2 linked regions of the Danio rerio genome follow. The protein of the gene in region 2 interacts with the protein of the main gene of each other region in a biochemical or structural test. Links are inferred from orthologs where the notes say so. Each region holds a gene or a part of one and is shown on either strand. Other genes may lie near its edges.

Evidence for each region. The genes of interacting proteins can lie anywhere in the genome.
Region 1: the proteins of maptb (region 2) and hdac6 form a complex in vitro, tested with the Homo sapiens proteins (4 studies listed by BioGRID, with this or other methods). The link is inferred for Danio rerio from reciprocal best matches to the Homo sapiens genes MAPT and HDAC6.

What each region holds. Positions count from the first base shown.
Region 1 is NC_133183.1:8,972,612-8,976,455, reverse strand, and holds part of hdac6 (protein deacetylase HDAC6), read left to right. Parts: intron 1-1,197; 5' UTR 1,198-1,230; coding exon 1,231-1,293; intron 1,294-1,540; coding exon 1,541-1,633; intron 1,634-3,844.
Region 2 is NC_133178.1:20,949,477-20,954,111, reverse strand, and holds the start of maptb (uncharacterized protein maptb), read left to right. Parts: upstream 1-1,511; 5' UTR 1,512-1,760; intron 1,761-3,881; 5' UTR 3,882-3,979; intron 3,980-4,635. UniProt on the Homo sapiens protein: Promotes microtubule assembly and stability, and might be involved in the establishment and maintenance of neuronal polarity.

The sequences.
Region 1 (3,844 bases), on a different chromosome or scaffold from region 2:
ACGAGTTATTAGTATTTTTATATTATTTTGCATACAAAATTATAATTAATTGCATCTGTGAACATTTCAATAATTATAATTTGAATAAAAATCAATTATCTTTTAAAATGATTTTAAAACTATTTATAAAGTATTAACCGTTCCATGTAATCTTTCACCTAATTTTTTATTTGTTAGTTAGTTTATTTATTCTTTTTTTCTGAGAACCTATTTCTAGAGGTTTTATGTAGCTAATCATAGAACAAAAAGTGTTTCATAAAAAAGACACAACATTTATGCATCTGGCAAACACTTTTATTCATTGTGACTTAGCTTTACACTGAATTTACATAAAAAAACCCCCAAAAACAATTATATAAGTAACCCACAACCTTTGCGATGTTAATGCCAAAGCTCAAATATTTGAGCTCCAGGAGGAATAAACTTTACACAGAAAATTTATGTCATAAATATAATTTATTTTTCTTTCTATTCAATAAAACTTAGCGGATCATCTGTGATAACCTAACCTATGTAGATAGAAGAGCAAATATTGAACAGATGGATACTTTTGAAAATGTTTTTACAATTTTACATTATTATTATTTATGTTTTTATTTAAATTATATGTAAATTAATTTTAGGATAAAACAAAAAGGAAATTCCTTAATATACATGTATGATTAACAGAAACTAACATAGGTAATTTAGTTGTTTTTATTTGTAATTTTGCTTACAAATTAAAATTACTAACATCTCTGATCATTTTAATAATTAGAATTTTCATAATCAATAATTTTCTAATTTACTTTTTAAATAAACTATTTATCATTCTGTATAACCTTTCCCTTACTGTGACTTTTGATTGGTTATTTTTTTTTTTCATGACACGATGGCTCACGGCAAGAAGTTTGCTGGTTCATGCCCCATGTTGGCATGGGTTTCCTCTGGGTGCTTCGATTTCCCTCACATTTCAAAGATATGCGCTATAGGTGAATTTAATAAACTAAATTGGCCGTAGTGTATGTGTCTGAATGTGAGAGTGTATGGATGTTTCCCTGTACTGGGTTGCAGCTAAAAGGGCATCCGCTGCATAAAACATATTATGGAATAGTTGGCGGTTTATTCCGCTTTGGCGGCCCCTGATGAATAAAGGGACTAAAGAATGAATGAAGTTTTTTTCTGAGTACGTGTTTCTAACATCCTCTCTTTTTCAAGCTCTCTGTTGTGTATCTGTAAAATCTTCCCCTGATGGATGCGGTTCCAGATACCAAAGGTTCTTCAGGACCTCCGAGAGGAACGCCAGAAACAAAAGTGAGGGAATGTTTACAATCCAGCACCCTAAAAAATTCTATTATTAACCATTTCATCATGACATGTTTCTGATTTGCTGTTTTTATCGGTGTCTAGTTAATAATCCACAGGTTTTCTCGAAGTTTGCCCACTTGATCTCTGCAGCGTCTCAGCTTGTTGTGCAGACTTTTAAATGTCAGGTGTGGGAGCTAGTGCTTTCTATTTTGAGCTAGATTTTCGTTTTAATAGTGAGTAATCTTTAAAACAGAACAATAAGAAGAATCTACAAGAGGCCAGGAGAAAAGGCAGAATGGATCGGAGCAAAGCTGAAGAGGAGATGAGCAATGAACTGCAAAATCTGGTAAACACTTCATCACACACTTCATTAAAATCTGGTAAACACTTCATCATAGTTACTAGTTTCTAATGAAATCTGTCTGAAATATCAAAGTTGGAGTCATAATTATTAGCCCTTCTGAATTATTAGCCCCCTGTAGAGTTTTTTTCTCCTATCAGGGCTCAACAATAAGGACTGCCTGGTGGCCCGGGGCCAGCGTGCGAGGCGCTCTGGACAGTAGACAGAATAGTTACTGGCCCGATTCGTAGTGCCTTGTCACAAAAGTTCTGCAACTATTTGTCATTTGCATTTGAATACAGTCTTAGAATCGAGAAACAGTTTGTGCTTTTAAGCCTTTAAATGCTGCCTTCTCAGTGATGTTGTAAACACCATGTTGCTTTTTGGTTCCTTCTATCTGATTGGATGTTGTGAGCTTGTTGTTTTTTTGTAACCTGGTAAAAACCAGTACAGCGAAATGAATTTATGAGGCTAAAAGAATGTCTTGTTAGCAAACATTTACGTGGGTACAATGCGAAGATATGCTCATTATACATGTTTTAACAGTTTAAAAATATAAAAATTCTAGATTCAAACACATTTTTGACACAATATTAAAACATGTGGCTAAGAAATAGCTATTAACTTAACTTTTTTTTTGGTGGGGCCAGTGAAAATATTGGCAGGGCAAGTAAAAATCTGTACCGCTGGCCCAATCGGGCCAGTAAAAAAAATCCTTAGCGTTGAACCCTGCCTATTTCTGTTTAACAGAAAGAAGTTTTTCTCAACACTTTCCTGAACATAATAGTTTTAATAACTCATTTCTAATAGCTGATTTCTTTTGGGCGAAACAGTGGCGTAGTAGGTAGTGCTGTCGTCTCACAGCAAGAAGGTCGCTGGTTCGAGCCTCGGATCAGTTGGCGTTTCTGTGTGGAGTTTGCATGTTCTCCCTGCGTTCCCGTGGGTTTCCACCGGGTGCTCCGGTTTCCCCCACAGTCCAAAGACATGCGGTACAGGTGAATTGGGTAGGCTAAATTGTCCGTAGTGTATGAGTGTGTGTGTGAATGTGTGTGTGGATGTTTTCCAGAGATGGGTTGTGGCTGGAAGGGCATCTGCGTAAAAACTTGCTGGATAAATTGGCGGTTCATTCTGCTGTGGCGACCCCGGATTAATAAAGGGACTAAGCCGACAAGAAAATGAATGAATGAATGATTTCTTTTGTCTTTGCCATGATGACAGTACATAACATCTCCTCATGGAATCCATAGTAGCCATTACACTTTCTCCCTCCAATAGCAAATAATACACATATTTCCATCTTCATATGGTTATGAAAATCTCTTGACAACACTATGGGGATTTCCTAGGTTTCTTCTTTGTGTGTGCTTGGCATTTCCATGTGAGAGCCCCCTCTGGCCGTTGGATGAGATTTATACTGATCACACAACCATATTTCATTAACAAGATGTGCATGACAATCGCAGCTTTGCTCAGTTGTGTTTGCAATTTCATTTTGATTATTCAATCAGATCTACACAAAATCACAAATAGCTTGTAGAATAGCAAGAACATTTGGATTTTCCCAACAATGCCAATCTGCTTGCTAAGTCCTACACAACTTCTGGGTCCAAGCGCTCTATCAAACTTTATATACACTCACCGGCCACATTATTAGGTACACTTTACTAGTACCAAGTTGGACCCCGTTTTGTCTTCAGAACTGCCTTAATCCTTCATGACATAGATTCAACAATGTACTGGAAATATTCTTCGGACATTTTTTTTCATATTGACTTGATAGCATCACGCAGTTGCTGCGGATTTTGTCGGCTGCACATCTATAATGCGAAACTCCCGTTCCACCACATTGAAAAGGTGCTCTATTGGATTGAGATCTGGTGACTGTGGAGGCCATTTGAGTACAGTGAACTCATTGTCATGTTCAAAAAACCAGCCTGAGATGATTCACACTTTATGACATGGCGCATTATCCTTCTGGAAGTAGCAATCAGAAGATGGGTACGTTGTGGTCATAAAGGGATGGACATGGTCAGCAACAATACTCAGGTTGGCTGTGGTGTTGACACCATGCTCAGTTGGTACTAATGAGCCCAAAATGTGCAAAGAAAATATTCCCACACCATTACACCACCACCACCAGCCTGAATCGTTGATACAAGGCAGGATGGATCCATGCTTTCATGTTATTGAAGCCAAATTCTGACCCTACCATCTGAA
Region 2 (4,635 bases):
AGAGTCGTTTATTTAACCAATTAATTCGAATCAATGATTCGTTCAGTTAGATTTGCTACTAAATGTGTTGAATTCATCAGTTGGCGAATGTCATAAGATCACCGTACTCAACACAACTGATACATAACATTACTCGGCTCATTTAATTTTAGACAATTGTCTAATAATGTAGCTACCCGCCGGTTATTAAAACAGTCCATGCTTCCAAATATTGATGCGTTTCATTTATTGAACACCATGAAAACTAAAGGAAAAAGAAACAAACAACCCAAATCTTTTACACAAACCCAATCAAAAGGACATCAAAATAAACAAATAACATACAAGGTTTCATTTTCCGTGTTGGCCTCATAACCAGCAGTAGAATAAGCAGTAGCACCCAACATGTGCCTGCATTGAGATCTCACTATCCTGTCCATACAAACTCTTGCACCTTACATCAATCAAGAAAGATCATGTGACCTCCGACTCAAGCCAACTGGAAACAAAGGAAATTTATAAAGTAAACATAAACCAAATACGCTTTTAAATAATGAAATACAAAAACAATCAACAACCAAAAAAATACAAGCTGACGGATCAGCGTCAGCTACAAATAACACTGCTAAAATAATTCATTTCATTTTATATAAAATAATAATTACATGGTGGAGCTTCTTGAGTTTGTTCAGTAAGGAGTGTTTGGATTGGTTGATTAAAAAAACTCACCACGATTGGCTAAACAGAATATCCTCCAAAAAAGATGTGTACGAATCATGTCCTACCAGAAATGTCTTAAAAATGTGCACACAAATTCAAAGGACTCCATGCTCGTGTGAGCATTTTCAAATGCACATTCAATGGTTTATAAAAACATATAACATAATTCATATATGCATGAAGAAAGTTAACAAAGAACTTCATATAAACATAATTGTGTAAACATTTAAAATGTATGTAGGTTGCTGCATATGTGTGCGCATTTGGGAAATATTTTTGCTTTTTACTTTTAAATTAATGAATTGTTTTTTGAATTGATGAATTGGAGTTGTGGATTTATGAATTGTGTTTTGAGTTTGAAAATTGTGCTGTGCATTTATTAAATTTATGAATGCAAATGTATTATTATTAAGACTGATATGACTCCATAGTGAACTGTCCCTTTACTGACAGAAAAATCTGTTACCTCCTTCCTGAGGGAGACCAGTCACAGTGACAGGTCTGAGACGCCACCTAGTGGCCAAACGTGTTTGTAACAGCCAGAGCTTTTCTCCTGTAAGAACCAATTTAACAGTATCATCATTTAGATCATTAAAGGCTGATGTGTAAAAAAATACATACGGGAAAGTTTCAAATTACAACATAAAAAAAAAAACAGCTGCAACATACATTAGCAGGCCATTAGCTTTCTCTCTCACAGACACAGCAGAACAAAATCTAAGAAAACTGCCTACTCATTCACAAGCGGGCAGGTTGCTGAGCAACTCCCACCCAAAGCCAACCTCAACCAAGCACACGATTGGCTTGCAGAAGATCATATCACACAGCAAGGACACTGAGAGCATCAGGAGCAGCATCTCTCTTCATCATTCAACATTCTACAAATCCTACTGCAGTGTTTTGCATGCGAGATATCACAAGATATCCACAATAAGGAGAAGAAAATACATTTAGGAAATTTGACTTTCTTTTGGGGGAAAATACCAGGTCGTGCTGCGGTGAAAGGACACAGGGACACTTTACTGTTCATGTGAAGGTGTGCAGGTGACAGACTTGGCTTGGTATGTAACTCTAGGGAATATGGATGAATTTGGTGAAGCTGATGGTGCAGTGTTTGTGCTTGAGTGTGTTATCCTATGAATGTTTGTTTAAGATTATGCTGAAGAAATATGCTGTGTGATTATAGAAAGCACGCTTTTTATAAACAAACGCTGTGGGTAAATATAAATTTTTTTTGCATTATGCTATCACTTACTGAAGAAATAATGTTAGAACTTTTTAGTCAACTATAAACTTAATTTAAATACAAATTTAATTTGAGATGGGTTTTTGTTTGTTTGTTTGTTTTATATAGCACATTTAATAGCAACAAATGTTTATTAAAGTGCTTAACAAATCAAAAAACACACAAAATCTATACTTGCATATGTAAACAAAATGAAATACAATCAAATGTAAGATAAGTTAAAGCGATATTAAAAAAAACAACAAGGGAAGACTTTGACCTGAAATACAAAGGCAAACCATTCCACAGACGAGGGGCTGCAACAAAACAAATCCTGTCTCCTTTTGTTTTTAATAGACACTCAGGAACACCCAGCTAAAACTATTGTGCCGATGGCATTTGATCTTAATAAAGTAAGATTGTTTAGCAAATATGCTTGTATGGCCATCTTATATCTTAAATCTAAACTGAGTTTAGGCACTCCTGATTTACAGTAGACGTTTCTAGTCTGTGTTGCATTGATATTTTAATTGAACCACACCAGAGTGTCTGAAAGCAGCCCAAAACTCATTTGGTTTGTTTTTTTGTGAGCACAAAGATTAAATGACAGCTAATTCATTAACTCTACAGACTGCAGCTCTGCACAAGACTTTTGGCCAGTGGAGAAATTAGAATGGTCGTGCCGAACAGAGTCTGGTTCTCTCAAGGTTTTTTTTCTTCACTCTCCTATTGGTAAAGTTTTTTTTCCCTCTCCGCTGTCATCACTGGCTTGCATGGTTCAGGATCTGAAAAGCTACTCATCGATGAATTTGCTCTTCAGTGTTTGGACTCTCAATAATGATTTAAACACACTTAACTGAGCTAAACTGAACTGAACTGAACTTAAACACTAAAAACTGAACTACCCTGATCCAGTTACTATGACCATTTATGTGAAGCTGCTTTGACCTTTTACAGTCATTGGCTTTGACACAAGCTACATTGTAAAAGCACTATACAAATAAAGCTGAATTGAATTGAATTAAGAGAAGTTTCACAAAATAATTTCGAGAGGAGCATGTGGTCTCTCATCTACAATTATTAGTAAGCCAATTAGATTAATCCAAACTCACTACAAGTAACCTGGCTAAAATTAGTCCCTTATCTTCGTTTTCCAAATAAACCCCCATCCACCCCATCTCCCCCTTTCTTCCTTTACCACGGGGAGCTCTTGAGAACTACTTGATCTCGTACTGCCCTTACATGCTCAATCGACCAGATGGGAACCCTGGGCTCAATTATCTTCGAGCTTAGGGTTTTCTCCCGGGACAGCATTCCAAATCTGACAAGTGTAAATGTGCACAGTATAATAACAGCAAAAACTTACAGCCTACATAAGGGATTTTTCCATATATTAAGGTTGCTGAGGTAGTCAATGAAGATGCTGTTCACATACACAGTATAGGCCCTTTTTATATAATTTTTTTTACATTATTTTTAAATAGTACAATTTTTTATAACCTTCGGTGCATCTTCCATTGGTATATATCCACAGTTTTACTACAAATACCATGGTTGGTGTTGCAAAACCATTTAGGATTAGGCTATAGTTGACCATGAAAACCCCAAACTAACTATTGGTAAATCATACCATAGTTTTATCAAAGTAATTGTAGTAAACTTGTGGTTATACAAAGTGAAGTCGGTGCAACCAAGATGTCTTCTAAATTTTACTGTGAAAAAAAATGCTTGATTTTTGCAAGGAGTCATTTTAAATTCATAGAAACATTCTCAAAAGTTTAAAGGTTTGAAACACTTGCTTTTTTGTAGGTGGCTGCCATAAATGAAAACATACTGCTAATCTAATACTGACCGCAACGAAAACATTAGCTGTGTGTGAATAATATCAGTGAAATGTCAGTTCAGTAGCGCACATGTTCTGCTTCATCCTGACATCATTCTCGCTCTCGCTCTCTAGCGCCATCCTCCCTTCGCAGGACACTGAAGGAACTGTCAGGGTTTGCTCACTGGCTGACTGCTGCAGTTGGACAGACAATAACTCAGAGTGCTACAGAGGTAAGTCAAACCGGTTTACAATCTTAAAGATCAACATCTAACAGCGATTCGTCATTAATCATACAATAAGCTATGCCTTTAAGCATCGGCACAGTTTTTACACTTACAATCACTGTATAAGTCTTAGGATGTTAGTAAATCCGACTGTTGGGTGTGTGACTGAGACATAATGGGCCTGATTTTCTTTATAGATTAATGGGGGAAAAGAAAAAAAATGCATGTCATTTCACTGAGATAGCATCGATAAGAAAGTGCACCTGAATCTGCTGGATTTCTTTATGCATTTGCATGAACCGGTACTTATCTCCAAGGATACACTATATTAACGATACACATTTAATTCAAATGAAATAATATTGCATTGCGTCTTTTTTTTCTTTGTTTTGTCCTTCTTTGCATGGCATGCATTAAATGCATGAATCTCGAAGAGGTGTGGGCGAGGAACGCATGCGATGCTTCACGTGCACGCGGTTTGCCGGTGTGGAAAAACCTAGAAGTGTGGAGCATAATGTGGCTCACGCCGGTGTGTTAAGTCAGTCTGTATGAAAGGTGTCATTTTTAAACAAAGGTAGCCTATATTGCAGGTATAACATATTAAAAATCTATATTTTTGTTTTGCTGTCTTTTGCTCTAAAGCCTAATCGGTCTAAAAGCGG